Linked DNA regions of Caenorhabditis elegans. The protein of the gene in region 1 purifies or fractionates together with the protein of each later gene. This does not show direct contact. Each region holds a gene or a part of one and is shown in the gene's direction. Other genes may lie near its edges.

The links.
Region 2: the proteins of copb-1 (region 1) and tmed-4 fractionate together in Caenorhabditis elegans (co-fractionation; one large-scale study listed by BioGRID). This does not show direct contact.

Annotation. Positions count from the first base shown.
Region 1 is NC_003280.10:3,072,135-3,087,669, forward strand, and holds the start of copb-1 (Coatomer subunit beta), read left to right. Parts: upstream 1-6,661; 5' UTR 6,662-6,671; coding exon 6,672-7,164; intron 7,165-8,253; coding exon 8,254-8,462; intron 8,463-9,123; coding exon 9,124-9,206; intron 9,207-10,107; coding exon 10,108-10,851; intron 10,852-11,694; coding exon 11,695-12,673; intron 12,674-13,384; coding exon 13,385-13,556; intron 13,557-15,020; coding exon 15,021-15,256; 3' UTR 15,257-15,535. Other genes in the region: Y25C1A.8 (Zinc finger Ran-binding domain-containing protein 2), read right to left, coding at 746-967, 2,227-2,495, 3,588-3,774, 4,534-4,633, 4,680-4,812.
Region 2 is NC_003283.11:19,939,472-19,955,066, reverse strand, and holds tmed-4 (GOLD domain-containing protein), read left to right. Parts: upstream 1-5,973; 5' UTR 5,974-5,976; coding exon 5,977-6,090; intron 6,091-6,143; coding exon 6,144-6,248; intron 6,249-6,298; coding exon 6,299-6,469; intron 6,470-7,821; coding exon 7,822-7,989; intron 7,990-8,040; coding exon 8,041-8,118; 3' UTR 8,119-8,327; downstream 8,328-15,595. Other genes in the region: Y60A3A.8 (DUF38 domain-containing protein), read right to left, coding at 75-240, 833-966, 1,052-1,787, 4,973-5,055; dhs-24 (Retinol dehydrogenase 13), read left to right, coding at 8,450-8,544, 9,604-9,808, 10,875-11,021, 12,576-12,949.

The DNA of each region.
Region 1 (15,535 bases):
CTGATTTTACAGCAAAAAACTGGCAAATTTTTTTTTAATTTTCTGGCGATTTTCAGCCAATTTTCGGCCAATATTCAGCAAATTTCTTCCATTTTTAGGCACAATTTCGACGAATTTTCAGGGAATTTTCTGCTAAATTTAGCGAATTTTCAACGAATTTTTGGCGTATTTAAATGATTTTTCAACGAATTTTCATCGAATTTTCGGCAATTTTCTGCCATTTTTTGGCGAATTTTCAGCGTATTTTAGCGAATTTTTAGGGAATTTTCAAAGAATTTTCAGGAAATTTTCAGGGAATTTTCGGCGAATTTTTGGCGTATTTTAGCGAATTTTTAGGGAATTTTCAAAGGATTCTCAGGAAATTTTCAGGGAATTTTCATCCATTTTTCAGCGAATTTTAGGCAATTTTCGGTGAATTTTCAGCGAATTTTCGGGGAATTTTCGACGAATTTTCGAGGAATTTTCGGCGAATTTTCGGGGAATTTTCGGCGAATTTTTGGCGAATTTTCAGCCATTTTTCAGGGAGTTCTTATTTCATTCAATTTCGACGAATTTTCAGCGAAATTCGGCCATTTTTAAGTAATTTTTTGGCGAATTTTCAGCGATTTTCCAGCCAATTTAGGCCATTTTTTAGAGAATTTTCATCCATTTTTCAGCGAATTTTAGGCAATTTTCGGTGAATTTTCGGGTAATTTTCGACGAATTTCCAGCGATTTTTCAGCCAATTTTCAGCAAATTTCCGCACCTCTTGCGATCTCTCCGATCATCCCGATAACTTCTTTCTCGGCTTCTACTCCGACTTCTTTTTCCTCTCTTTCTATCACGATCTCTCGGTGAGTTGCTCCGTTTCCGATGGCTTTCACGATCCCTTTCTCGTGATGTTTTGTGCATTTTTCGACGATCTTTTTCCTTTTCATCTTCACTTTCTGGGCAAGAGCATTCACCGCCCGAGCATGAGCATGAGCATCTGAAAATTTTAGATTGGTTTTTTTTTTGGGATTTTCTGTAGGAAAAAGTGATTTTTCTGAAGTTTTTGAGGCAGAAAATGTGAAAATTGAGCAATTTTGAGCACTAAAAACCGCATTTTCAGTGAATTTTTGGCATTTTCCTACTGAAAAATTAATTTTTCTCAACTTTTTGAGGCAAAAAAACCGCAAAATTCATGAATTGTGAGCATTTTTCAGCTTTTTCGCAGCGAAAAACCGACTTTTCTTAACTTTTTCAGTTAAAAAATATTAAAATTGATCAATTTTAAGTCCGAAAATCGATATTTTCAGTGAATTTTTTGGCATTTTCGCGTGATTTCATTGCTTTTTTAGGTAGAGAATATGAAAATTGAGCCAATTTTCAGCAATTTTCAGCTTTTTCGCCGAGAAAAAGTGATTTTTCTGTAATTTTTGAGGTAGAAAATGTGAAAATTGAGCAATTTTGAGCACTAAAAACGGCATTTTCAGTGAATTTTTGGGATTTTCAGTAGGAAAAAATGATTTTTCTGTAGTTTTTGAGGCAGAAAATGTGAAAATTGAGCAATTTTAAGTACGAAAATCGATATTTTCAGGAAAAGTTTGGTATTTTCCCACTGAAAAAGTGATTTTTCTGTATTTTTTAAGGTAGAAAATCGAAAAATTGATGGATTTTGAGCAATTTTCACCTTTTTCGCGGAGAAAAAGTGATTTTTTCAATTTTTTGAGGAAGAACATCGATATTTTCATCAAATTTTTAGCATTTTCCCGATGAAAACTTGATTTTTCTCTGAAATTTAGACGTTTTTAGTCGAAAAATTCAATTTTCTGTGATTTTTAAGCATTTTTCCAGGTAGAATTATAAAAATGTACACAATTTTCAGCCTTTTCAGCCAGTTTTCGGGCAAATTTTCGAGTTTTTCAGCGAATTTAAGGAGGGATTTTCAGAGAATAAGTATGGTTTTAGGTTGTTTTGATGCAAATTTTCTAAATTTTAAGCTGAATTATTCAATTTTTAGTCAATTTAAAATTGATTTTCCGCTACAAAGCGGGTCATTTTTTCGATTTTAGCAACGTTTCAGCGAAAAAATTCAATTTTTCTGGTAAAAAAACGTCAATTTCCTCAATTTTCGGTCAATTTTTCTCAATTTTTAGCGATTTTTCGCCAATTTCAGTCAAGTTTTGGCGAATTTTAGCGATTTTCCTCATTTTTTCGCCAATTTTCGTCAATTTTCATCCATTTTTCCTCATTTTTCGCACTAACTCGCTGTCATCACAGGCTTCCGAGCCAGCTGCCGCCACCGCCACAATTTTGCTCTTCAAATTCTCGACTTTTTCCACTAATTCCGGATCGGAATCAAAATCGAAATTATATTTTCCAAGATCTTCTCCATCCTCATCTTCATCTTCATCGGCTTCATCGTCTTCGTCGGCTTCATCTTCTCCACGTGGAGTCCGTTTTTTCAAATCATCTTTTACAGCAATTTCTTCATCATCCGAAGCTTCTCCTTCCTCCATATCTCGAAATTGATCCTGAAAAGTTGAATTTTTTAGTGAAAAATTGGTAAAAATCGATAGAAAATGGTGATTTTTAGCTGAAATTTTGGATTTTTAACCGAAAAATTGAGAATTTTTCGATTTTTAAGCAAAAAAAATCTGCTAAATTCCAAGTTTTTTGACTGAAAAACAGGGTTTAGGATTAAAATCGAAATTTTTGTAGTATTTTTTTCGATTTTTCGGCTGAAAACTGTCAAAAATTGGAGAAAATCGATAGAAAATGGAGATTTTTACCAAAAATTCAAAAATTTTCAGTAAAAATCTGATTTTTAAGCTAAAAAATCGGACTTTTTAGTGCAAAAAAAATTGAAAAAATCGAGAAAAAAATGCAGATTTTTAGCCCAAAAATTGAGAATTTTCAGTAAAAATCTGATTTTTTAGCTTAAAAAACCGATATTTTTCGATTTTTGAGTGAAAAATGGAAAAAAATCGATAGAAAATGCATTTTTAGCTGAAATTTTGGATTTTTTTAGCCTAAAAACCGGAATTTTTCGATTTTTAAGCTAAAAAATTGATTTTTTCAGTGAAAAATGGAAAAAAATCGATAGAAAATGCATTTTTTAGCTGAAATTTTGGATTTTTTAGCCTAAAAACCGGAATTTTTCGATTTTTAAGCTAAAAATTGGCATTTTTTACTGGAAAAAAATCGAAAAAATCGATTGAAAATGGAGATTTTTAGCCCAAAAATTGGAAATTTTCAGTAAAAACCTAATTTTTTAGGTTAAAAACCGGGATTTTCCGATTTTTACGCCAAAAAAACGGAATTTTTGACTGAAAATTCGGGGTTTCAACTGGATTTTGAAGAGTTTTAGGGTTAAAAATGGTCAAAAATTCAATTTTTCTGATGTTTTTGAGCATTTTTCATGCTTCAGAGTGATTTTCTGGTCATTTCCAGCGTATTTTGACGATTTTTATTCATTTTCTGGCGTTTTTCGATGATTTTTATCCATTTTCAGGTTTTTTTTGAGCATTTTCCGGGGCTTTTTGATGATTTTTATCCATTTTCTGACGTTTCTGGGCCGTTTTTCGTGTTTTTTCGCCCGATTTCCATCCGATTTCCGCACGAACCTCACCCTTTTTCTTCTTTTTCCGCCCAAACTCGTCGAATTCCTCATCATAATCGCGTTTTACGTATTCAACGTTCTGCCGATCATTATATCCACCTCCATAGCCTGTTCTACGCTCCAAATCCGCCAATTTTGGAGCATTACACACGTTACACGTCCGTCGGCGAGCCCAGTTAACGTTTCCGCACCTGGAAATTGGGTTTTTTCAATTTTTTCAGGCAAAAATTCCGATTTTTTAGCTTAAAAATCAAAAAATCTCGGTTTTTATGCTTAAAAAGCTAGGTTTTTACTGAAAATTTCCAAATTTTTCTGCTAAAATCTGCATTTTCAATCGAGTTTTTCAATTTTTTCAGGCAAAAAATCCGATTTTTTAGCTTAAAAATCGAAAAATCCCAGTTTTTAAGCTTAAAAAATAGATTTTTACTGAAAATTTCCAACTTTTTCGGTTAAAAATCTGCATTTTTAATCGAGTTTTTCAATTTTTTCAGGCAAAAATGCCAATTTTTTTGCTGAAAAATCGAAAAATCTCGGTTTTTAAGCGTAAAAACTAGATTTTTACTGAAAGTTTTCAATTTTTGGGCTAGAAATCTGCATTTTCTATCAATTTTTTCAATATTTTCAAGCGAAAATTTTGATTTTTAGCTTAAAAATCGAAAAATCCCAGTTTTTATGCTAAAAAAACAGATTTTTACTGAAAATTTTCAATTTTTCAGCAAAAAATCTGCATTTTTTTCCGATTTTTTCAACTTTTTCAGGCAAAAATGCCAATTTTTTAGCTTAAAAATCGAAAAATCCCAGTTTTTAAGCTTAAAAAATAGATTTTTACTGAAAATTTCCAATTTTTAATCTTTTTTTCAATTTTTTCAGGCAAAAATCCCGGTTTTTTAGCTTAAAAACTAGGTTTTTACTGAAAATTTCCAATTTTTCGGTAAAAATCAAAATCTTACTTTGAACAAACCCAATCTTCAGCTGCAAATAGTCCTTTCGATTTTTCCGCCTGCTCCTTGCCCAGCTCCTTGCCAATTTTGCTTTTCGCGCGCGGTTTCGCTGAAAATCGATAATTTTTGGGGTGAAAAATCGTCGAAAACCTCACGTTTTCCATATTCATCACATACAAGAAGTGATTCTTCGTTTACTTTGGCACATTTCGAGTCGACACACGCCCATTCACCGTCTTTCAGCGCTCGACGCTTTTGTTCTCGATCATCGTCGTATTTCGACGACATTTACTGACTGAAATCGGGTTTTTATTGCGTTTTTTTGAATAAAAAATAAAAAATCACTAGGAATTCGTGAAAAAAACACGAAAAACCGAGAGAACTTAAGCTTTTTGTGTCGATTTCCGTGTAAATTATCACATTTCAAAATGCGGCCGGGTCTCGCCACGATTTGCCCGCCGCTGTGTCACGGGGTACGGTGGATGGCGAGAACCACGTCACTGTGCGAGAAATCTAGATTCCAATCTTTTTCCGGCGATTTACGTGGATTTTTGCCGGTTTTCAGCGGATTTTTTCGTTTTTTCGTGGGTTTTTGAGGTTAAAAATTGATTTTTGAAGCTTTTAAAGCTATATTTCAGTCGAAAAAGCGGCAAAAATCGATAAAAAACAGGTAGAAAGAGTGAAAAGTGACGTGGCGTTGAATTAGGTCAATTTAAATCAATTTGTCGTTGAAAATTGGGTTTTACAGCTTTAAAGCCTAGATTTCTGTCAAAAAATCAATAAAAACCAGGCGAAATGAGAGAATTTTGTGAAAAATCAAGTTTCGCAACTTTTTCCGTAGTTTTCTGTGGATTTTTGCGATTTTTTTCCATTAGAAATTCGATTTTCTGTGTTTTTTGCAGAAAAAGTTACAGTTTTTGCTGAAAAATGCGATTTTTTCAGGCAAAAACGACAAAAAATCCCATTATCAGCAGAATTTTGGTGGTTTTCTCAGTATTTTTTTCTGAAAAATGCAATTTTTTCAGCCAAAACTGGCAAAAATTGCATTATTAGCAACAATTTGTGTGATTTTTCAGATTTCTAGCTGAAAAATGCAATTTTTTTCAGCTAAAACTAACAAAAATCGCATTTTTTGTGGATTTTTGCAACTTTTCGCGTTTTTTTTTCCATTAAAAATTAAGTTTTAAGGCAAAAAAAGCGAATTTTCGCGGGGTTTTACCACAAAAAAAAACCGAGGGAAAGGCGAATTTTGCATACAATTGTCCAAAAAATTGAATTTTTTCAATTTTTTTACAAGAACAGTCAGAAAATTTGCATTTTTAGTAAAAAATTTGGCATTTTTTACTGAAAAAATGGAAAAAATCGATTGAAAATGGGGATTTTTAGCCGAAAATTTGGAAATTTTCAGTAAAAATCTGATTTTTTTAGCTTAAAAACCGATATTTTTCGATTTTTAAGCTAAAAAATTGATTTTTTCAGTGAAAAATGGAAAAAATCGATTGAAAATGGGGATTTTTAGCCGAAAATTTGGAAATTTTCAGTAAAAATCTGATTTTTTAGCTTAAAAACCGATATTTTTCGATTTTTAAGCTAAAAAATTGATTTTTTCAGTGAAAAATGGAAAAAATCGATTGAAAATGGGGATTGTTAGCCGAAAATTTGGAAATTTTCAGTAAACACCTAATTTTTAGGTTAAAAGCCGGGATTTTCCGATTTTTACGCCAAAAAACGGAATTTTTGACTAAAAAATCGGGTTTTCAGCTGGATTTCGAAGAGTTTTAGGGTTAAAAATGGTCAAAAATTCAATTTTTCTGATGTTTTTGATTTTTCTGATGTTTTTGAGCATTTTTCATGCTTCAGAGTGATTTTCTTGTCATTTACAGCGTTTTTTGATGATTTTTATCCATTTTCTGACGTTTTTGGGCATTTTTCATGCTTAAAGGCGATTTTCGGGGGTTTTCCAGCGTATTTTGACGATTTTTATTCATTTTCTGGCGTTTTTCGATGATTTTCGATGATTTTTCACAGAAAAATGCGATTTAGCTGGAAAATTCAATTTTTTCACAAATTTTTTTTTAAAACGTGAACTTTCTCTACTTTTTTCTTTCTTTTCCCCACAAAAAACCCGAATTTCCAGCTCCTCCACAATGAGCTCCGGAGAGCAACCATGCTACACACTCATCCACGTGCCCAGTGACGCTGAGCTCCCATCAGAAGCTCAATTGAAGGAAAAATTCGAGAAAGGAGGCGATAAAGAGCGAATTGAGGCGCTCAAAAAGCTCATTTACATGATTTTAAACGGAGAAAAAACGTCGCAGAGCATGCTAATGTACGTCATCCGCTTCTGTCTTCCATCCAATGAGCACACCCTTAAAAAAGTGCTCTTGATCTTCTGGGAATGTGTTCCGAAGACGGATTCCAATGGAAAGCTGCTCCACGAGATGATTCTGGTGTGCGATGCCTACCGAAAAGACCTTCAACACCCGAATGAGTTCGTTCGCGGTTCGACCCTTCGGTTTTTGTGCAAACTCCGTGAGCCCGAGCTTCTCGAGCCGCTTATGCCGGCGATTAGAGCTTGTTTGGAGCATCGGCACTCGTATGTTCGTCGTAACGCTGTCTGCGCGATTTTCACTATTTATAGTGAGTTTTTTTGGGCTTATTTAGGCCTGAAATGGGCTTGAAAATGCGAAAAATGACTTTTTTCCAAGAATTTTCACCTTTTATTGCATATTTTACGTTATTTAGTTGATAAAAGGTACATTTATTGCAAAAAATCGCATTTTTAGCTGAAAATTGGCGAATTTTTCAGCCAAGAACGGCTAAAATCGCATTTTTAGCCGAAATTTGAGGGTTTCTTAAGATTTTTGATTTTTTGCTCCAAAATGCGATTTTCTAGGCTCATTTTCGGTGAAATTTGCGATTTTTTGCGAAAAAATCCCTTTATTAGCTGAAAATTGGCGAATTTTTCAGCCAAAAATGGCAAAAATCGCATTTTTAGCCGAAATTTGAAGGTTTCTTCAGTTTTTTTTGGTGAAAATTGCGATTTCTCATGTTTTTTGAGCTGAAAAATACGATTTTTTACAATTTTTATGCCAAAAAACACATTTTTAGCTGAAAATGCGATTTTGTCAGCCAAAAATGGCAAAAATCCCATTTTCAGCTAAAATTTGGGGTTTTTTTTTCAGTTTTTTTGCTGAAAAATACGATTTTTCATGATTTTTCAAGAAAAATCACATTTCCAACGAAATTCTGACTATTTTTCGCTGAAAAACGGCAAAAATGCCAATATTCAGCTGAAAAATGAGCATTTTGTCTGATTTTTGTTGCCAAAAATCGATTATTAAGCTGGAAGATGGAAAAAAAATTCGACTTTTTGATGTTTTAAGCTAAAAATACGTAAAATTTCGTTATTTTAAGCAGAAAAATCGAATTTTTCAGGGAAAAACCTGAAAAACTTGCAGATTTCCAGCTAAAAATGTCATATTTTCTGCAAAAAAACCAGGAAAAATCGTATTTTTCAGCTAAAAATGCGAGTTTGGTCTTGAAATGCACCTTAATTAACGAAAAATCAATGGAAATATGCAATAAAAGGTGAAAATTTGAGAAAAAACCAACTTCGGGACCGGAAAATTGACCAAAATTAATGATTTTAGCTAAAATTAGGTGATTTTTTCGCATTTTTTGATCATTTTTTCCCCGTTTAATCCAAAAATCCCGCTTTTTTTCCAGAAAACTTTGAATTCCTGATCCCAGACGCACCGGAGCTCGTCACAGAATACCTTGAACAGGAGCAAGATGCTTCGTGCAAGCGTAACGCTTTTATGATGCTCCTTCACGTAGATCAAGCTCGTGCTCTTGACTATTTATCGGGATGTATCGATCAAGTCGGATCTTTTGGAGATATATTGCAGCTCGTTATTGTTGAACTCATTTATAAGGTGCATTCTGTGGAAAATTGACTGAAAATATCGATTTTTTGAGAAAAAACCCGTAAAAATGGGGTTTTTTTCGTTGAAAATCGAAGAATTTTCATTAAAAACGGCGATTTTCAAGAAAATTGCGGTTTTTTAAGGAAAAATCTGACAAAACCCTGTAAAAATGGGGTTTTTTTTTTTGTTAAAAAACGGAGAATTTCCATTAAAAACGGCACTTTTTTTATGAAAATTAACTGAAAATGTGAATTTTAGAGTAAAAAAGCTATAAAAATGGCGTTTTTTCGTTGAAAAATGGAGAATTTACATTAAAAACGGCGATTTTCAAGAAAATTGATTGAAAATATCGATTTTTTGAGAAAAACTTGTTAAACAGGCTATTTTTGTTTTAAAAAAACGGAGAATTTTCATTTAAAACGTCGCTTTTTATGAAAATTGAATGAAAATATGAACTTTTAAGCAAAAATCTCAGAAAAATCGTGAAAATCTAGAAATTTCACTATAAAAATGTGTGAAAATCGATTTTTAATTTTAAAATTAACTAAAAATTGGTTTTTTCAACGAAAATACGATAAATTTATCGAAAAATATGATTTTCCTCCAATTTTAACCGAAAAAACTGAAAAAAAATGGCCGAAATCATCCAAAAACTCCAATTTTCTTTCAGGTTTGCCACAATAATCCAAACGAGGCTTCCCGATTCATCAGATGTGTCTACAATCTTCTTCAGTCATCATCACCAGCCGTTAGGTGAGGAAAATCTTGGAAAAATGACGGATTTTCCTGGAAAAAATGGACAAAAAATCGCCAACACCATAAAAATTGTGCGATTTTAGCGAAAAAACTGGAAAATTACGATTTTTAGACCCCAAAACCTTAAAAATTCAGCGATTTTCTCGAAAAATAGCCTGAAAAAATGAAAAATGTTGAGTTTTTTTTTTTCGAAAAAAATGCTCCAAAACCTGGAAATTGTGCAATTTTTTCGTTAATAAGCTGAAAAATAATTAAATCTTTATTTTTTCTTGAAAAACCTATCAAAATTCTCAAAAAAATCGAGTTTTAGACGCCAAAAGCCCCAAAACCGTGAAAATTTCGCGTTTTTCTGAAAAAAAAAAAGATAAAAAGTTAGAAAATTACCGTCTTTAGACCCCGAAATCTTGAAAATTCCGCGATTTTTGTCAAAAAAAAATAGGCGAAAAATCAGATAATTGCAGTTTTGAGACCTCCAAAACCTCCAAAATTTTGCAATTTTTGTGAATTTAGCCTGAAAAACACTGAAAACCTGGAAAATTTTGAGATTTTACCGGAAAAAATAGGCGAAAAATAGGAAATTTATGAATTTTTCCCGAAAATCCCCACAAAAACCACTCAAAACCTTGAAAATTTCGCGTTTTCCGTCAAAATAAAAAAAAATAGGCGAAAAGTTGGAAAATTACGATTTTTAAACCCGAAAAGCCTGAAAATTGTGCGATTTTCTTGAAAAAATGAGCGGAAAAATTAGAAAAAAACGCAGTTTTTAGACACTAAAACCTGGGAAATTGTTTAATTTTTCTTTTTTTTTTAACACTAAAACTTTCACAAAATGCTCCAAAAACTGGAAAATCACGAATTTTTTCGCGAAAATTCACCGAAAAAATGCTCAAAATTGCAGATACGAAGCCGCCGGCACCCTCGTCACCCTCTCCAACGTACCAGCCGCCGTGAAGGCCGCCGCCAGTGCCTACATCGACCTGATAGTCAAAGAGTCGGATAACAATGTGAAGCTCATCGTTCTCGACCGGCTTGTGGCTCTTCGCGGCTCGTCGAGCAACGAAAAGATTCTCCAAGGACTTGTCATGGATATTCTTCGTGTGCTCAGCTCGCCGGGCCTAGAAGTTCGCAAAAAAACGCTGAGCCTGGCGTTGGATTTGGTTTCAAGCCGAAATGTCGAGGATATGGTGATGTTTTTGAAGAAGGAAATCAATAAAACCGCCACCGAATCCAACGATGAAAATGGAAAATATCGGCAGGAGCTTGTCAAGACGCTTCACGCGGCGACTATCAAGTTTCCAGACGTTGCTTCAACTATTGTTCCAGTGCTCATGGAGTTCCTATCAGACACCAATGAAAAAGCCTCCTCATATGTGCTCCAATTCGTTCGTGAAGCTGTTCATAAGCTTCCTAACCTGAAAAACGCGATCCTTGGAGCTCTCCGTGAAGGTATTCCGTTCATCCAATCGCCTACGATCTTCATGTCAGCCCTCTGGATCCTTGCGACGTACTGTGAAGCCGATGGAGCTCTGGATGTGCTCAAGCTTGTTAAGAACTCTCTTGGAGAGCTTCCACTTGTGGATAGTGAGCTCTCTGGGCAGGAAGAGCAAAAGCCGGAGGAGCAGCAGCCCGAGCAGCAGCAGAAGTACGATTTTTTGCCGCTCGAAAAATTGGGAAAAAATCGCAATTTTCCGAGTAAAAACCAAAAAAAAATAAATAGAAAAATGAATAAAATTCAAAAAAATTTTCCCTAAAACGATTTTAGGGCAGAAAAAATCGAAAAAACGATTTTTTGCGAAATTTTCACCCCCAAATCCCTGAAATTCCTTCATTTTTTGAACAAATCCATGTCGAACAGACGCGGCGGAAAATTGATTTTTTAGCTTAATTTTCGCTAAAACTCTTAAAAAATGAAAATTTTAAATCTAAAAAACCCAGTTTTCTTCCAGAATTTTGAAAAAATCTCTGTTTTTTTTTTTGGTAAAACCCGTAAAAAATTGAAAAAAATCGATTTTTTCAAATGAAAATCTTTAAAACATTGAAAAAATTTCAATTTTTTAGGCAAAAACCATCGATTTTTTTTGGATAAAATCTCAAAAAAATTGAAAAATGTCCACTAAAACAAAAATCGACTTTTTTTTTTGATAAAACCCGTAAAAAGTTGAAAAAAAATCGTATTTTTCATCCATAAAAAATTAAAAAATTGAAAAATGTTCACAAAAACACATTTTATGGCAAAAAATCTATTTTTTAGCCTAATTTTCGATCATTTTTCACCCCAAAACCCCCAATTTTCTTTCAAAATAATCGATTTAATCGCATTTTTTTTGGTAAAACCCGCAAAAAATCATTGAAAAAAAATCGATTTTTTGCGCAATTTTCTTCCAGAATTGAAAATAAATTGATTTTTTTTATTTGGAAAAACCCGCAAAAAATTGAAAAATTTGATTTTTTCAATTTTTTCAAATAAAAATTTCGAATTTTTCAGGCAAAAACCGAAAGTCACTGCAGACGGAACGTACGCCACTCAGACGGCTCTCTCGAGCACTGTAACCACGTCAAAAAAGAACGAGAAGCCGCCACTCCGACGTTTCCTGCTCGACGGCGAGTTCTTCCTCGGAGCATCGCTAGCCACAGTGCTCACGAAGCTCGCCCAACAATTCACCGAGCTCAACGGAGCCGCGAGCGAACGTGCGAATCGATTCAGAGCCGAGTGTATGCTTATCCTCTCGTCGATTATTCATTTGGCAAAGAGTGGGCTGTGCATTGTGCATCAACAAGTCAACGAGGATGATCTCGATCGAATGGGAGCAACAATTAAGATTTTGGCTCAAGGGATTCCGGGGCTCGACGAGCAGTACGGCGACGATTGTAAGAAGAGTTTAGAGTTGATGCTCGGAGCCAAGTCGATTAGTCGGCTTGATGTTACTACTGAGAAGATGGCTTCCACCACGGCTGCTGGATATCGATCCAAAGATTTTGTGGAAATTGATAAAACTATCAATTTTACGCAGCTCTCTGCTCGGAGCAACCAGCAAGGCGAGAATTTGTTCGACTTATCGCTCTCGCAGGCTCTTGGAACAGCTCCGAAGGCTCAAAAATTCGACTTTTCGAGCTCAAAACTGGGAAAAGTGATTCAACTCGCCGGATTTTCGGATCCAATCTACGCTGAAGCCTATGTCAATGTGAATCAGTATGATATTGTGCTCGACGTGCTCATTGTCAATCAAACATCGGATACACTTCAAAATGTTTCCCTTGAGCTCGCCACTGTTGGAGACTTGAAGCTTGTCGATAAGCCGACACCGGTTACACTTGCTCCCAATGATTTTTCGAATATTAAAGCGACGGTGAAGGTTGCGTCGACGGAGAATGGTGTGATCTTTTCAACGATTTCGTATGATGTGACAGGATCTACGTCGGATCGGAATTGTGTCTATTTGCAGGATATTAAGATTGATATTATGGTGCGCGGGTTTTCATGTGGATTTTCCAGCGAAAAATTGAGATTTTTTGGGGATTTTCGTGAAATTTCAGCTGAAAATTCGAAAATTTTCGGGCAATTTTTAGCCAAAATTGTGATTTTTTACGATTTTTTCGTAAAATTTCAGTCAAAATATGACATTTTCTGAATTTTTTGGCAATTTCCAGTCAAAAATTGAATTTTACTGGAATCTTTAAAGAATTTCAGTCAAAAATTCAGTTTTTAACGAATTTTTCGTAAAATTTCAGTCAAAAGTTATGATTTTCGTGATTTTTGGACATTTTCAGTCAAAAAATTGAATTTTTACGAATTTTTCGTAAAATTTCAGTCAAAAGTTGTGATTTTCATGGTTTTTGGACATTTTCAGTCAAAAATTGAATTTTTAAACATTTCAGCCAAAAATTGAATTTTTACGAATTTTTCGTAAAATTTCAGTCAAAAGTTGTGATTTTCATGGTTTTTGGACAATTTCAGCCAGAAAATTGAATTTTTAAACATTTTCAGTTAAAAATTGATTTTTTTCTAGAATTTTTCGTAAAATTTCAGTCAATTTTCTCAATTTTCAGGATTTTTTTGATAATATAAGTAAAAATTAATTTTTTTTTCCTGAATTTTTCGCCCCAATTTTCAGTTAAAATTTGAATTTTTCTGGAATTTTTGGCCAATTTCAGTAAATTTTTCCCATATATTTCAGGATTACATAGTGCCTGGCAACGTGACAGACACAGAATTCCGTACAATGTGGAGTGATTTCGAATGGGAGAATAAGGTGAACGTGATGACGCCGATTCGTGATCTACGGGATTTCCTTAATCATTTGTCGACATCTACGAATATGAAGGTTTTGACTGGAGATGCGGCGATTGGTAAGGGGAAAACGAGAACATTTTCGAGAGGATTTTGGCTGGAAAATTGGATTTTTTAAAGATTAAAAAAATGCGAATTTTTTCAATTCTGGAAAAAATTGGGCGAAAAATCGATTTTTCTGCCTAAAAAAAGGTTGTATTTTGTGAAAATTTAAATTTTTTCAAGATCTTCGTCTAAAAAAATCGATTTTTAAAGGGTTTTAGCCAAAAAAAAGGCTAAAAAATCGATAATTTTTCAATTTACTGCTAATCAACACGAATTTGTGCGAAAAATCCAATTTTTTGTCCTAAAATGGTTTTTATCTAAAAAATTCGAATTTTTCACAATTTTTCGAGAATTTTCCAGCTAAAAATTTCGAAAAATTTATATTTTCGAGAATTTTAGGCGAAAAATCGATTTTTTTGCCTTAAATTGATTATTAACGAAATTTTTCCAATTTTTCAATGTTTTTGGTTGGAAAATTTTTAATTTTTAATTTAAAAATTCGAATTTTTTCAATTTTTAGACCCAAATTATTTAAACCCAAAAAAAATAAACATTTGAATTTTCGGCAAAAAACCTCTAAAAATTGAAAAAATTCGAATTTTTAAATTAAAAATTAAAAAAAAATCGAATTTTCCAACCAAAAACATTGAAAAATTGGAAAAATTTCGTTAATAATCAATTTAAGGCAGAAAAATCATCGATTTTTCGCCCAAAATTCTCGAAAATATAAATTTTTAGCTGGAAAATTCTCGAAAAATTGTGAAAAATTCGAATTTTTCAGTTAAAAACCATTTTAGGACAAAAATTGGATTTTTCGCACGCAAATTCGTGTGGATTAGCAGGAAAATTGAAAAATTATCGATTTTTTAGCCTTTTTTTTGGCTAAAACCCCCAAAAAAATCGAATTTAAATTTTCACAAAATGCAACTTTTTTGGGCAGAAAAATCGATTTTTCGCCCAATTTTTCCAGAATTGAAAAAATTTGCATTTTTCAGCCAAAAAGTTCAAACAATGAAAAAAAAAACCAGATTTTTTGAAGGAAATCTCAAAAAATTTGAAAAATATTTCCTAAAACACATTTTAGGGCTGAAAAATCGATTTTAGCCGAATTTTCACCCAGAATTTATAAAAATTGATTTTTTTTGTTGTAAAATCGGCAAAAAATTGAAAAAAATCGAATTTTTAAGATAAAATCACAAAAAATATGAAAAATGTTCACTAAAACACATTTTATGGCTGAAAAATTGATTTTTAAGCCCAATTTTCGCACCAAAACCCCAAAAAACCCCCAATTACTTGCAGAATTTAAAAAAAAACGAATTTTTTAGCCAAAAACCTCAGAAAATTGGGAAAAAAATCGATTTTTTTGGATAAAATCTCAAAAAATTGGAAATTTCTCAGCAAAAACCAGTTAAGGGCAAAAAAAAAATCGATTTTTCGCCCGATTTTCACCTATTTTTCACCCAATTTTCTTGCAGAAGGCGACTGTGGATTCCTGGCAGCCAATCTATGTGCTCATTCGATTTTCGGTGAAGATGCTCTCGCGAACGTCTCTGTCGAGAAGGCTCTTCCGATGGATGACTCGTCGCCGATCGTCGGTCATATTCGGATCCGTGCAAAGAGCCAAGGAATGTGCCTGACACTGGGTGATAAGCTGAGCTCGGCAATGCGTTCACGACGTGATGGTCAACCGATTGCTGCTCCGTCGGCTTGAAGGGGCCCTGAGGCTTGAAGGCTTGAAGAAGGCTTGAAGGCCCAAAGGCTTATAAATTTTATTCATTTTTTTCTCTCTTGGATTTGTATGATTTGTGATTGATTTACTGATTTTTTTTTTGGAATTAATTATTGATTTTTTGTTCCAAGTGTTTATTGCTCCCCCAGCCCCCCAGTCCGTAACTTATTGATTTTTTTTCCACGCAAAAAATTATTCCCCCTCACCCCCCGTTTTTCTGTCTATTTTTTTTGTATGTCCCACCACATTCGTGTGAAATGA
Region 2 (15,595 bases), on another chromosome or scaffold:
TAATAAAGCAATAATAATCGATATTTTTTCAAAAAAAAAAAAAAATTAAAACTTAATTTTCCACAAATCCTTCTTCATCTCAAGAGTCCTCTCTCGACTTTCGCTTCAACATTGACCTGATCCACGTGGCATACCGTACCCATCACTTCTTTTTCTGAAATCATGACTACTAGAATAAGATCAGTAGATGGCATCTGGAAACGTTGAGTGTGAATGAATCGGCTTCCGAGCACGGATCTTCTGTAAAGAATTTGAAATTATACTACTGAATTAGGAATTTAGGCATAGATAGGTATGTAGGCATGTGGGTATATAGCTATTAGGCCTGTATTAGGTACATAGGTATTATGCACATAGGTATTAGATGTATAGTTATTAGGTATGTATCTATTAGGTATATATGTGTGTGCCTCATACCTATATAGTATATTCGGTATATACTATATAGGTATGAGGCATATAGGTAAGTAGGTATATATACAGTTATTAGGTATATAGCTATTAGGTATGCATTATGTATATAGGTGGTAGGTATGTAGGTATTAGATATTTCGCTATTGCCTAGGTATATAGTTATTAGGCATGTCGGCATTAGGTATATATATATATATATTAGGTATGTAGGTTCCATGTAGGCCTATATAGGTCATATAGGTAGATAAGTATGTATCTATATAAGTATTGTGGAAAATCGCTCAGAGCAAAATTTTGGCATTTCTATAATATTATAGCTGCTCTTAAGCTATTTTCCACTAGTTTTTTCTAGAAATCTACACCTAAAAATGCTCGAAAAAGCGAATTTATGAGTTTTTCCAAATTTTCAATCCCTTACAATCGTGTCCTGGCAGTAATTGGTTCATCTCTTGGCGGAACATTAAATGTTGCAAGAATTCGATCGACATTCGGCTCAGCTTGACGATATGTGAAATGGAATGACGAGCCATGCAGGTTTTTTCGGATGAAATTCTGAAAAATTTGAATTTTTCACTACAATTTAAAGTTTTCAGGTTAAAAATTTCATTTTTAACCGAAAATCTTCTCAAAAATGCACCTGAATCACCGTCCAAAGCTCTTGCTCCCCCGAATCCCTCACATGCATTTGAATCTCATTAAAATCCTTCAATTCCTCAATTTTCACATCTGAAAGGTGCTCCAAGAGCACCGATCGTGCTCCCTTCCACTGCTCCGTTCCGATAATCGGCGCCATGTGCCACGTGGCGTTTCTATCATGGAATTCCAAGTTTTTCAAGGTTTTCGTGTGGAAAACTTGCAGAATTTCAGCGATTTCTTGTGTTTCTTGATGCCAATGAATGACTAGTGACTTGGATTTTATCGATTTTTTCGGGAATGATGACGTCATCAGGTCTAGGAGTCTTTGACGGAATTCGATGGTTCTATCCGGATGTGCGATAGGATTATATTGATTCGGAATCATGTTGATTATCGACTTTTTGCAGTTTAACCTATTCAGCAGAAGCTTAAAATCGTCCAGTGCAAAATCCACGTCATCAGCTTCGCTGGCCAGGTTTTCCACGTGGATTGACGTTTTAAAAATGAATTTCTGATTTTTTCCCGGCACAAATAGCACTGGAGACTCGGAATACTCGATTTTCAGGTCGTTTTCGCCGATATTCTTGAAATATTTCAGTGTAAAGACGGTGTCCGGCGAATCGGAATACGTGAAAACTGTGTAATTCTCGCAGGTATGAATTGCCACGTCATGAAGGTGATTTGGAGTTGAATCGACGAGAAATTGGTCCGATTTTGAGCATTTTCGGAGGCAGCAGCTGAAAATTTGCAGAAAATTGTGTTAAAACTCAAATTTTGGTACAAAAATCATGAAAATCGGGCTGAAAATGAGTTTTTTAGCTCTAAAAACTTGTAGTTTGTAGTTTAGCAGCGCCCAAAATTGAATTAGCAGCGCCCAAAATTGAATTAGCAGCGCCCAAAACTTGTAGTTTGTAGTCTAAGCAGCGCCCAAAACTTGTAGTTTGTAGTGTTAGCAGTGCCCAAAATTGAATTAGCAGCGCCCAAAACTTGTAGTTTGTAGTTTAGCAGCGCCGAAAATTGAATTAGCAGCGCCCAAAACTTGTAGTTTGTAGTCTAAGCAGCGCCCAAAACTTGTAGTTTGTAGTGTTAGCAGTGCCCAAAATTGAATTAGCAGCGCCCAAAACTTGTAGTTTGTAGTTTAGCAGCGCCGAAAATTGAATTAGCAGCGCCCAAAACTTGTAGTTTGTAGTTTAGCAGCGCCCAAAAACTTGTAGTTTGTAGTGTTAGCAGCGCCCAAAAACTTGTAGTTTGTAGTGTTAGCAGCGCCCAAATTGAATTAGCAGCGCCCAAAACTTGTAGTTTGTAGTTTAGCAGCGCCCAAATTGAATTAGCAGCGCCCAAAACTTGTAGTTTGTAGTGTTAGCAGCGCCCAAAACTTGTAGTTTGTAGTGTTAGCAGCGCCCAAATTGAATTAGCAGCGCCCAAAACTTGTAGTTTGTAGTTTAGCAGCGCCCAAATTGAATTAGCAGCGCCCAAAACTTGTAGTTTGTAGTGTTAGCAGCGCCCAAAACTTGTAGTTTGTAGTGTTAGCAGCGCCCAAATTGAATTAGCAGCGCCCAAAACTTGTAGTTTGTAGTGTTAGCAGCGCCCAAATTGAATTAGCAGCGCCCAAAACTTGTAGTTTGTAGTTTAGCAGCGCCCAAATTGAATTAGCAGCGCCCAAAACTTGTAGTTTGTAGTGTTAGCAGCGCCCAAATTGAAGGCAATCTATCCCATGCTCACATTTCCCATGCTGACATTTTCTCCCGTGCATACAAAATATTCCCATGCTTACGCCCAGTAGTTCGAGTACTCCCATGCCTACAATTAATTTTTCTCCTTTTTTTCCGTTCCCATGCTGACACTCCCATACATACATTTTCTCCCGTGCATACAAAATATTCTGATGCTTACATCCAGTAGTCAAAGTACTCCTATGCCTACAACTCATTTTTCCCTTTTTTTTCGTTCCCATGCTGACATTCTCATACATACATTTTCTCCCGTGCATACAAAATTCCCATGCTTACATCCAGTAGTCGAACGTTCCCATGCCGACATTCCCACACATACATTTGTTCCCATACTTACAAAAATGTATTCCCATGCCGACATGGAACAGTTTTGTGCTCCAGAAGAACACAAAGTCAATTTTTTTGCTAATTTTCATTGTATTAGGCTTACTTGACAGCTTTCAGTTACAACTGATCGCTTTTTTTTTCAAAATGCATTAGTTCTCGATTATGAACAAGGAATCGAAGAAAAATGGGGATGACTGCCTATAGAGTAAAATTTTTTTTTGCTCAAAAAAAAATTTTTTTTTTGTAAATTTTTTTTCTCTCTATTTTGTAGGATGTAATTAATTCGGTGAATTCCACAACTTCAAATGTTCATATTGCTGTTTCCGTGCAGTTATGAGTTTCGCAGTGTCTTAGGAACATCCCATTTTTTGTTGCATTTTGTAGGAATTCGGAGCTATCTTATAATTTCTACAAATTAGAAAATCCATTTCGCATTATTTCATGTAACTTGAACCTATTGCTCTTCAAAAATAGCACAGAACGAATGTTGATTCTGTTTCTTTCATTAAAAAATGTGCTACTGTGCATTTTTTCCCACTTCTACGACTTTAAAGGCGCGCGCATTTATACAAAATGGTCCCGTCATTGGTCTCGCCAGCGCTCAACAAATCAATGGGATGCGCGTGGCGAGATTATTGCGCGAAAATTCGCGCGCCTTTAAAGTCGTAGAAGTGGGAAAAAATGCACAGTACCACATTTTTTAATGAAAGAAACAGAATCAACATTCGTTCTGTGCTATTTTTGAAGAGCAATAGGTTCAAGTTACATGAAATAATGCGAAATGGATTTTCTAATTTGTAGAAATTATAAGATAGCTCCGAATTCCTACAAAATGCAACAAAAAATGGGATGTTCCTAAGACACTGCGAAACTCATAACTGCACGGAAACAGCAATATGAACATTTGAAGTTGTGGAATTCACCGAATTAATTATATCCTACAAAATAGAGAGAAAAAAAATTTACAAAAAAAAAATTTTTTTTTGAGCAAAAAAAAATTTTACTCTATAGGCAGTCATCCCCATTTTTCTTCGATTCCTTGTTCATAATCGAGAACTAATGCATTTTGAAAAAAAAAGCGATCAGTTGTAACTGAAAGCTGTCAAGTAAGCCTAATACAATGAAAATTAGCAAAAAAATTGACTTTGTGTTTTTCTGGAGCACAAAACTGTTCCATGTCGGCATGGGAATACATTTTTGTAAGTATGGGAACAAATGTATGTGTGGGAATGTCGGCATGGGAACGTTCGACTACTGGATGTAAGCATGGGAATTTTGTATGCACGGGAGAAAATGTATGTATGAGAATGTCAGCATGGGAACGAAAAAAAAGGGAAAAATGAGTTGTAGGCATAGGAGTACTTTGACTACTGGATGTAAGCATCAGAATATTTTGTATGCACGGGAGAAAATGTATGTATGGGAGTGTCAGCATGGGAACGGAAAAAAAGGAGAAAAATTAATTGTAGGCATGGGAGTACTCGAACTACTGGGCGTAAGCATGGGAATATTTTGTATGCACGGGAGAAAATGTCAGCATGGGAAATGTGTGCATGGGAAATGTGAGCATGAGATAGATTGCCCAAATTGAATTAGCAGCGCCCAAAACGTGTAGTTTGTAGTTTGGCGCTGCTAATTCGATTTTGAGCGTTTTTTATAGGTTTTTTCAAATTTTTACAGGATTTTGAGACGAAAAATGTGAAAAATTGCTGAAACTGGGTTAATTTTAACAAAACTTTCAAAAAATATATAATTTTTAAAAATTTCGTTGCGCAAAATATTACAAATCGCTGTGAGACCTTCTTTAGGCGCGATTTTTGCAATTTAGACAATTTTTAACATTAAAATCAACAAAAACCCACCGATTTTTGTACGGCAACAGTTCGACGACGGCGGATTTGAAGAGAAACGGCAATTCTGCCCAAGTTGGCTCCGAAATCGGCATTTTTCGTCAATTTTTGAGCGGTTTTCGACTGAAAATGACTCAAATACGTTCTTGGAAATGTGATAAGCTTTATAGAAAATTGCGAAATACACAAATATTTGTTTGGAAATGAAAAAAGCGGTGGTGAGCGGTGGGGCGAGTTTTCTTGCGATTTGGGGAATTTTAAGGTGAAAATTGATGGAATTTGATGAGTTTTGATTCGAAAAATCTTTAAAACGGTATTTTTCAGATAATCTGCAGAAAACGAGGAAAAAAATGTGGATGTTTGAAGAATTTTAATTAATTTTTAGATTTTTCTGTTTTCTGGCTCAATTTCAACCAATTTTCCCAAATTTTTTCTGTATTATATCAAAGCTTTACTCATTTTTCACAATTTTTCATTCAATTTCGTCTAATTTTCACTGCTTTTACCCAATTTTTCACTTAAAAACCCAACAAACCAGAAAACTGTCGTCAAGTGTGGTGTTTGCGTACCACGCAGTGTTTGCGGACCCAGTACAACGTGGACTTATTTTGGCGGATTTTTGTTGAAAAAAGTCGATTTTTCATAGTTTTTCATTGTTTTTTCGGGATTTTTGAGGTCAGAAAGTGCTATTTCGCTGGTTTTTTGCTTGAAAATCGTTAAAAATCGTAGAAAATCGACTGAAAACGGTAAAAACGAAATTTGGCTCTAACACCTTTATTTTCCTAGTTTTTCAGTGGTTTTCTTGATTTTTAATGTGAAAATTAAGATTTTTCGGGCCGGAAAGTGTTATTTTTTTGAATTTAGCTGGAGAATTGCAGAAAATCGGCAGAAAACGCTATAAAAGAAAAATTTTCCGTGTTTTTTTTCAATTTTTGAGTTTAAAAATTGCTCTTTTGTTCGTTTTTGCCTCACTTTTCAAACTTTTTCCCTCAAAATCCCCAAATTTTTTTCAGAAAATGCGTCTTCTCATCGCACTTCTTAGCTTGGCCACCTACGCCGATTCTCTCTACTTCCATATTGCGGAAACTGAGAAGAAATGCTTTATCGAGGAGATTCCAGACGAGACTATGGTATTTCTAGGCTCAAAAATTCGGAAAAATCACAAAAAAAAACAATATTTTAGGTGACCGGAAACTACAAAGTACAATTATACGACCCAAATACGAAGGGATACGGAGATTATCCGAATATTGGAATGCACGTCGAGGTTAAGGATCCAGAGGACAAGGTTTTCGCAGAAATTTCTCAATTTTTAAGCCAAAAACCCCGATTTTTCAGGTTATTCTTTCGAAATTGTACACCGCCGAAGGCCGTTTCACTTTCACATCGAATACTCCAGGAGAGCACGTCATTTGTATCTATTCCAACAGTACTGCGTGGTTCAACGGAGCCCAACTTCGTGTTCATCTTGATATTCAGGCCGGAGATCACGCTCAGGACTATGCTCAGGTAGAAGAAGAGCGAAAATTGGACGAAAATCGAGAAAAAACGCTTGAAAATGGAGATATTAGGATGAAAATTGATGAATATCGTGAAAAAAGCTCTGAAAAACTGATTTTTTAGGCTGACAACAGCTGTAAATCAGTTTTTTATCGAATTTTTCACTTAAAAAATGCAAAGTTTCACCAATTTGAAGTTGGGCGCTGCTAAAACTACAAACTACAAGTTTTGGGCGCTGCTAAAACTACAAACTACACGATTTGGGCGCTGCTAATTCAATTTTGGGCGCTGCGAAGACTACAAACTACACGATTTGGGCGCTGCTAATTCAATTTAGGCGCTGCTAACACTACAAACTACAAGATTTGGGCGGTGCGAATTCAATTTGGGCGCTGCTAAACTACAAACTACAAGATTTGGGCGCTGCTAATTCAATTTGGGCGCTGCTAGACTACAAACTACAAGTTTTTGGCGCTGCTAATTCAATTTGGGCGCTGCTAACACTACAAACTACACTTTTTGGGCGCTGCTAAACTACAAACTACAAGTTTTGGGCGCTGCTAACACTACAAACTACACTTTTTGGGCGCTGCTAACACTACAAACTACAAGATTTGGGCGCTGCTAATTCATTTTGGGCGCTGCTAATTCATATTGGGCGCTGCTAATTCAATTTGGGCGCTGCTAACACTACAAACTACAAGTTTTGGGCGCTGCTAACACTACAAACTACAAGATTTGGGCGCTGCTAAACTACTAACTACAAGTTTCGGGCGCTGCTAATTCAATTTTGGGCGCTGCTAACACTACAGACTACAAGTTTTGGGCGCTTTTTCGTCAAAAATGCTTCAAAACTCATTTTTCCCGAAAAACCTGCCAAAAAATGGCGTTTTCACTTCGTCTACGTCATCATAATTTCATAGATAATTTCTCTTCGAAAAAATCCTCAAATTTGCTGTGAAATTATCAAAAACCAGGCTCATTCTGATGAAAATTGGTCAAAAAATTAAAATTCTGTGCAAAAAAATCGTATTTTCAGTGAAAAATTGAGTTTTCACTCGAAAATAGATCAAAAACATGTAATTTCATGCAAAAACACTAATTTTGTGATAAAAAAAATTTTGGGCGCTGCTAAAACTACAAACTACAAGTTTTGGGCGCTGCTAATTCAACATTTTTGCGCTGCTAAACTACAAACTACAAGTTTTGGGCGCTACTAAACTACAAACTACAACTTTTTGGCGCTGCGAAACCCATTTTCCTTCAAATTTTCAACATTTTTGCGCTGCTAACACTACAAACTACAAATTTGGCGCAAAATTTCCACATTTTCACCCAAAAATCACCGAATTTTCTTCCAGATCGCCCAAAAGGACAAGCTGAACGAGCTTCAACTCCGTATTCGTCAACTTTTGGACCAAGTCGACCAAATCACAAAAGAACAGAATTATCAAAGATATCGTGAAGAGAGATTCCGTCAAACTTCTGAATCTACCAATTCGCGAGTTTTCTACTGGTCTATTGCTCAAGTAAATTGCCGAATTTTGTGCTGAAAATCGATAAATTTTGCAATTTTTCAGGTCGTCGTTCTTGCCATCACCGGTGCCTGGCAAATGCGTCATCTTCGTGGATTTTTCGAGGCCAAGAAGCTTGTCTAGACGTCGATTTTTCAGTTTTTTGACTTTTCCCACCAAATTCTACTGGTTTTCTTTATTTTTCCCTATTTTTCCCGTTTTTTTTTTGAATTTTAATGTATTTTTGATCGATTTTTATCGATTCCAGAGGGTAGACAATTTATAATTTATAATTTATTTGTTTTTTTTCTATGTGTATTTATTATTTAAATAACGCGAAAAATTAATTTAAAATGTTGTAAGTAAGCTCTAAAACTCAAAAATTACAGTAACAAGTCTGCGGTTTTGTATTTTTTTTTTCAAAAAAAATTGTTTCAGACTTGAATTAGGCCAAAAATTCTAGGTTTCAGAAGAAATGGCTGGCCGCCGCCTGATTCAGGGCTTAACCTCCCCTTGGTCTGTCGGATTTTCGGCTTTTGGGCTCGCCTATGGTGGATACCACGTTTGGGAGTAAGTTTTCGATTGAAAATCCGGAGAAAATGCGTCAAAAACCAGAAATTCAGCGGAAAAAATCACATTTATCCGATAAAAATATGAAAATCGATAAATTTCGATTGAAAATTAAATTTTCAGCCGGAAAATCGATTTTAACACGGGAAATTTAGTTTTTAGCTCTGAAATTTGTCTTTTCAAGGAAATTTTCTCGATTTCTCACAGAAAACTGATCAAAAATTCGGTTTAGTTCAATTTTCACCCAGAAAAAACCGAATGAAAATGAAATTTATTCTGAAAAAATCGATTTTTCGTCAAAAATGCTTCAAAACTCTTCATTTTTCCCGAAAAACCTACCGAAAGCGGTTTTTTCCACTAATCCACGTCATCTTAATTTTATAGATCGTTTCTCTTTAAAAAAATCCAATTTTTCCTCAAATTTACTGCGAAATGATCAAAAACTAGGTGTTTTCTGATGAAAATTGGTCAAAAATTGAAATTTTGTGCAAAAAATCGAATTTTCAGCGAAAAAATTGAGTTTTTACACGAAAAATTGATCAAAAAACACGTTTTTGGGCGCTGCTAAACTACAAACTACAATTTTTTGGGCGCTGCTAATTCAATTTTGGGCGCTGCTAAAACTACAAACTACAAGATTTGGGCGCTGCTAAACTACTAACTACAAGATTTGGGCGCTGCTAAAACTACAAACTACAAGTTTTGGGCGCTGCTAATTCAATTTTGGGCGCTGCTAAGACTACAAACTACAAGTTTTGGGCGCTGCTAAACTACAAACTACAAGTTTTGGGCGCTGCTAAACTACAAACTACAAGTTTTGGGCGCTGCTAAGACTACAAACTACAAGTTTTGGGCGCTGCTAAACTACAAACTACAAGTTTTGGGCGCTGCTAAACTACAAACTACAAGTTTTGGGCGCTGCTAAACTACAAACTACAAGTTTTGGGCGCTGCTTAGACTACAAACTACACGTTTTCGGGCGCTGCGAGCCCAATTTTCAAGCTTTTTTCGCCATTTTTCCACTAAAAACACCTAAATTTTCACTTTTTCCACTTCCAGCTCAACCCAATCAGGCACCAAATACGATCTTCACGAGGATCTTGCCGGCAAAACGTACATCGTAACCGGTGCCACCTCAGGCATCGGCCAGGCGACTGCAGAAGAACTGGCAAAACGTAATGCACGTGTCATTATGGCTTGCCGGAATCGCGAGAAATGCGTTCAAGTTCGCCGGGATATTGTCCTGAATACCAGGAACAAGCAGGTTGGAATTCGAGACGATTCGGACGAAAATGAGCTGAAAAATTGAATTTTTCACCAAAATTCGGTTAAAAATCGATTTTTACCCGGAAAAATGGCTATAAATCGGCTAATTTTGCTGAAAAATCGCATTTTTCACGAAATTTTGTGTGAAAATCGGCAAAAATCGATTAAAATCCACTTTTTACCCGAAAATTGCAATTTTCCGACGATTTTCTCGATAAATACAGCAATTTGGAGTTGAAAAACAGAAATTTTCACCGATTTGAGCTGGAAAATCGCATTTTTGACCTGTCTTTTGTGGAAAAATATGAGTTTTCCTGTAAAAATCCTAAAAAATTAGGAATTTTCAGTTAAAAAACCGGAAAAATTGCAAAAAATGTCAATTTCGAGCTGGAAAATTGCATTTTTCAACAGATTTCTCAGGAAAATCCGATTAAAATTCATTTTCGGCTCGAAAAATGTCAAAAAATCGATTTTTTTCGCTCTAAAAATCGATTTTTCGCTCAAAAAGGCTCATTTTTATTGGAAAAAAATGTCTAAAAATCCCATTTTTCACGAAACTTTGAGTGAAAATTGGCAAAAATTTGAATTAAACTCAATTTTTACCCGAAAATTGTGAATTTCCGACGATTTTCTCGATAAAAATGGCAATTTGAAGCTGAAAAACAGAAGTTTTCATCGATTTGAGCTGGAAAATTGCATTTTTAACCAGTTTTTTGATGAAAAATATGAGTTTTCCTGTAAAAAATCCTAGAAATTTACGAATTTTCAGTTAAAAAAGGGCAAAAATTGCGAAAAATGTATTTTTCAGCCGACTGTCAGGAAAATACAATTAAAATTCATTTCCGGCTCGAAAAATGTCTAAAAATCGCATTGTTCACAGAATTTTGTAAAACTTACGAATTTTCAGTTAAAAAACGGCAAAATGTCAATTTGCCGGTTTTTCGAGTGAAAATCTGGAAAAAATGAGAAAAAAGTCAATTTTGAGCTGAAAAATGCTCATTTTTCACCGATTTTTGTGTTTTTTTTTCGCTAATTTTCCCCAAAAAATCCCTGATTGTTTCCAGGTATACTGCCGTCAATGCGATTTGGAAGATTTTGACAGTATCCGAACGTTTGTCCAAAAGTTGTCCAAAGGAAAATTCGAATTGGATCGAATTGATGGAATTGTGCATAATGCGGCGATGATGCAGAGTGAACGGGCTGTAAATAAAGTAAAAATTCGCTTTTTTAGCCTGAAAATTCAAAATTTCGCGGTTTTTGACCTAATAATTCGATTTTCTGGGTTATTTTTTGGTGAAAATCGGTTTTTTTTTTCGAGTTTTCTCGATAAAAAATGTCCAAAAACGAGAATTTTGATGGAAAATTCGAATTTCTGGGTCATTTTTGATGGAAAAAGTGAAAAATTACGGAAAATGCCCCATACTTTCCGATTTTTTACGAAAATAATGACTTTTTTTTCCGGAAAAAAACGAAAAATCTTGATTTTCCACCGAAAATTTTGAATTTTAGTGCAAATTGTCGTGAAATCTGGAGTATTGGGTTACTGTAGCTTTGGTGGTTGCGGACTTTTGGAGCTACGGTAACCCCAAAAAACGAAAAATCACTTTTTCACTGTGAAAACACCTTAATTTTTCGATTTTTCAGATAAAAATCATGAAAATTTCTGTTTTTCTCCCTGAAAATTAATTTTTTGGGACTAAAATGGGCTTTTAGTGTATTTTTCCGTCAAATCTTGTGTTTTGGGTTACTGTAGCTCGGTGTTTGCGGACACTTTTGGAGCTACAGTAACCCAAAAACTCGGAAAAATGACTTTTTTGCACTGAAAACAGCACAATTTTTCAGGTAAAAATCATGAAAATTTCTGTGTTTTTACCTGAAAACTAGTTTTTTTTGAATAAAAAAGGCTTTTAGTGCAAATTGTCGTAAAATCTGGTGTTTTGGGTTACTATAGCCGGGTGTTTGCGGACTTTTGGGGTGACAGTACCCCAAAAACCAAAAAATCACATTTTCGCACTAAAAACACCGAAATTTCCTAATTTTTAAATTAAAAATCGTGAAAACTTTGGATTTTTTCATGAAAATTTGAAAATTCGCCGAAATTCCCATTTTTCAGCACTAAAAACGGCGAAAACTGGTTTTTTTTAAAGAAAAATCGTAAAAAATTCAGATTTCTCATGACAAATTACCCAAAAATTCTATTTTTTCGATTTTTTGTGCAAATTGTCGTAAAATCTGGTGTCTTGGGTTACTGTAGCCTGGTGTATGCGGAGATTTTGAGGCTACAGTAACCAAAAATCGCCAAATTTCTAAATTTTTTGAGTAAAAATGGATTTTCGACACGAAATTTCAATTTTTAAGTGAAAAATTTCGTAAAAAATCACATTTTCACACTGAAAAATTCAAATTTTCACTTAAAAATTCAAATTTTCACTTAAAAATTCAAATTTTCATTTAAAAATACCCAATTTTCACTCAAAAATTCAAATTTTCACTTAAAAATTCCCAATCTTCACTCAAAAATTCAAATTTTCACTTAAAAATACCCAATTTTCACTAAAAAATCACATTTTCACTTAAAAAATCACATTTTCACTTAAAAATTCAAATTTTCACTTAAAAATTCAAATTTTCACTTAAAAATTCAAATTTTCACTTAAAAATTCCCAATTTTCACTGAAAAATTCAAATTTTCACACTGAAAAATTCAAATTTTCACTCAAAAATTCAAATTTTCACACTGAAAAATTCCCAATCTTTTTTTGCAGGATGGAATCGAAAAAACCATCGCCACAAATCACCTGGGAAGCTTTTTGCTCACCGGACTCCTCTTGGACAAGCTCCTCGCCCAGCCGAATCCCGTCCGAATTGTATTTCTAAATTCGAATATTATCGATCGAAAGTGTGACCTAAATTTGGCGGATTTCAACTCAGAAAACGCCGGGAAAAAATTCGATGGATATGAGATTTACAAGCACTCGAAACTGGCGTCGGCTCTTTTTACGAAAGAGCTCTCTGAGAGGCTTTCCGATACGAATATTCACGTTTTAATGGCAGATCCTGGACGAACAAAGTCGAATTTGTCGGCTCAAATGGATGGACAGACGTTCTTTTTGAGCCGGTGGTTGCTCAAAATTGTTAGGTAGCTTAAAATTGAAAAAAATTGAAAAAAAAATCATTAAAAAGTGTGGAAAATTCAAAAATTGAAGTGAAAATCGTAATTTTGAAGAGAATATTACGATTTTGAAACCAATGTTGTTATTAAATTGTTTTAAAGTATAGAATTCAAACATTCGAAAAAATAAACTTATAGCAATCGATTTTTGTTTCATGAAAAATCGGCAAATGCATATATAAGGAAATTCGTAGTTTAGACTGGATAATTGAAATTAAAATTAGTAATCAATAATATTAGTGTTAGTAAATAGAAATATTAGTGTTAGTAATTAATAATAAAGTTGTTAGTGAATAATGGTAATATTGTTAGTAATTAATAATATTGGTGTTAGTAAATGATAATAATATTATTAGTAAATAATAATAATATTGTTAGGCATTAGTAATAATGTTATTAGTAATTAATAATATTAGTGTTAGTAAATAATAATAATATTGTTAGGTATTAGTAATAATGTTGTTAGTAATAATATTGTTTATTTGTCACAAGAAAGAGCTACACCGGAAGATAAAAAATAAAGTAAATAAAATGATGTGTGAACAAATAAGTAAAATGACCAGTTGGACCAGCTATAGCCCGGGAGGTCAAGTTGGGGGGAAGAGGGTGTCGAATGGAATAGAGCCTAGGCGCGACGCAAATGCATTTGGAGTTAACAGTTTAGGGAAACGTTTTGCTATTCGATTCCACAACGACAAGTTAACATGTAAAAAACATTTAGACGGGACACCACAGATGACAAGTAGATAGGAGTGACGAGTAGAGCGTGAAGCTCGAACGAACGATGATAAGGACGGGAAGTGATACTCGCTTGAAATAATTTTATGGAAGGTTCGGAGGATTTGTAGAACCCGTCTGTGGTGAGTAGACAATAAATTAAATTGTGAAAGCCTGCTGCTGTATGACGAGTAAGATAAATTGCACCTTTGAAAGACACACTTTGAGAAAAACCGGAGGGGGATTCTAGTTTTTTGGCAAGTTCGGTGGAGTTGGGCGGGAAGAGCTCGCAGCCATATTCGAGTACGGGGCGGATGTAAACATTGAACAGTTTAAAATAGAATTCGGGACTTGTGGAGCGGAATGAGCGAAGGATTTGGCGACACTTAAGGAGGGCACTATTAGAAGTCTGGTTAATATGATTTACAAATGATAATTTGGTATCGACAATGATTCCGAGATCTCTGATAGAATCACGCGGTTTAATTTCAACACTATTTACAAAGTATTTATGACGGGGGTTCTTTTTACCAAAGTGTAATACGGCAGTTTTTTGCTCAGCAAGATTTAGACGCCATTTTTTACACCAATCAGCGACAATATTGATGCTTGTTTGGATAGAGGTGGGGTCCGATCTAAGTAATTTTAGATCGTCGGCAAAGGCTGTAACATGGACATCAGGGGGGAACAAATCTAATAAGTCATTAATATACAAAAGGAAGAGGAATGGTCCAGTTACACTACCTTGGGGGACACCTGACATGACATTGAAAGAGTTGTCCGACATAAAATGATCAATTTTGATTTTCGATGAACGGTTACTGAGGAACGAGCTGATCCACTCACAGCATCCTGAATCGAGCCCAACATTCAGAAGTTTGAGAAGAAGCAAGTTGTGGGGAACACTATCGAATGCTTTTTTGAAATCGAAATATATAGTATCCACATACTTGCTCTTGTCAAGAAGAACTTTCTGAATTTTGGACGTCGATTCGAGAACTGCCAGAGTGCATGAGCGCGCAGGCAGGAAACCGAATTGTTTGGAAGAGAGGAGTGGAGATAATTTCTGCTTGAGAGCATCAAGTACAACTCGTTCAAATAGTCTAGACAATAAAAATATTAGTGTTAGTAATTAATAATATTAGTGTTAGTAAATAATAATAATATTGTTAGGTATTAATTTTAATTTTAATTTTAATTTATTACGATTTTTAGTCGTGAAAATAATATGCACAACAGGCAAAAAATAATAATAGAAAAAATACAGACAGAACACAATAGAGAAAAAAAAATCAATAGGAAATGCAAATCGGGAATATTCAAAGGAGAGATCAAGACGTGGAAGGGAAGAGGACAAATTAAGAATAATATCAGATCAGTGTTGTTTCATAGTAGAAAGCGTTCTGTTAACAAAAAAGTGTCTCCTAAGTTCAGTTTTTCCTGTGCGCCAGACATATTTCTTTTTAGAACGAGTGTGGGTCTCTTGTTGCTCAAAAAACTCAGATGTTTTTAAGTCTACTTTACCAGTATTCATTCTGATTACTTGGATTCTGTCAATTATTTTACGTCTCGTGCTTAAGGTTTGAAGGTTGAATAGTTCGTTACGTTCCATGGCTGTTTTGTAATCTTTATCAGTTGGATTAATATACCTTTTTTTGATTCTACTATAAAGGCGCCTAGTGAACGCGTTTTGCACAGACTGTATTGCTTTCTCATCCGATTTTTTCGTCGGAGAAGACATTACTGTTCCATATTCTAGACGAGGACGAATGAAAGTTTTGTATAAAAGAATCATTAGTTTTTTATTGGAGGTACTGTACTGGTTAAAAATGTTGGCCAGCTGAAATTTCGCCAGATTGATAGATTTCTTCCAATGCTCCGAGAAATCCAGTTTTT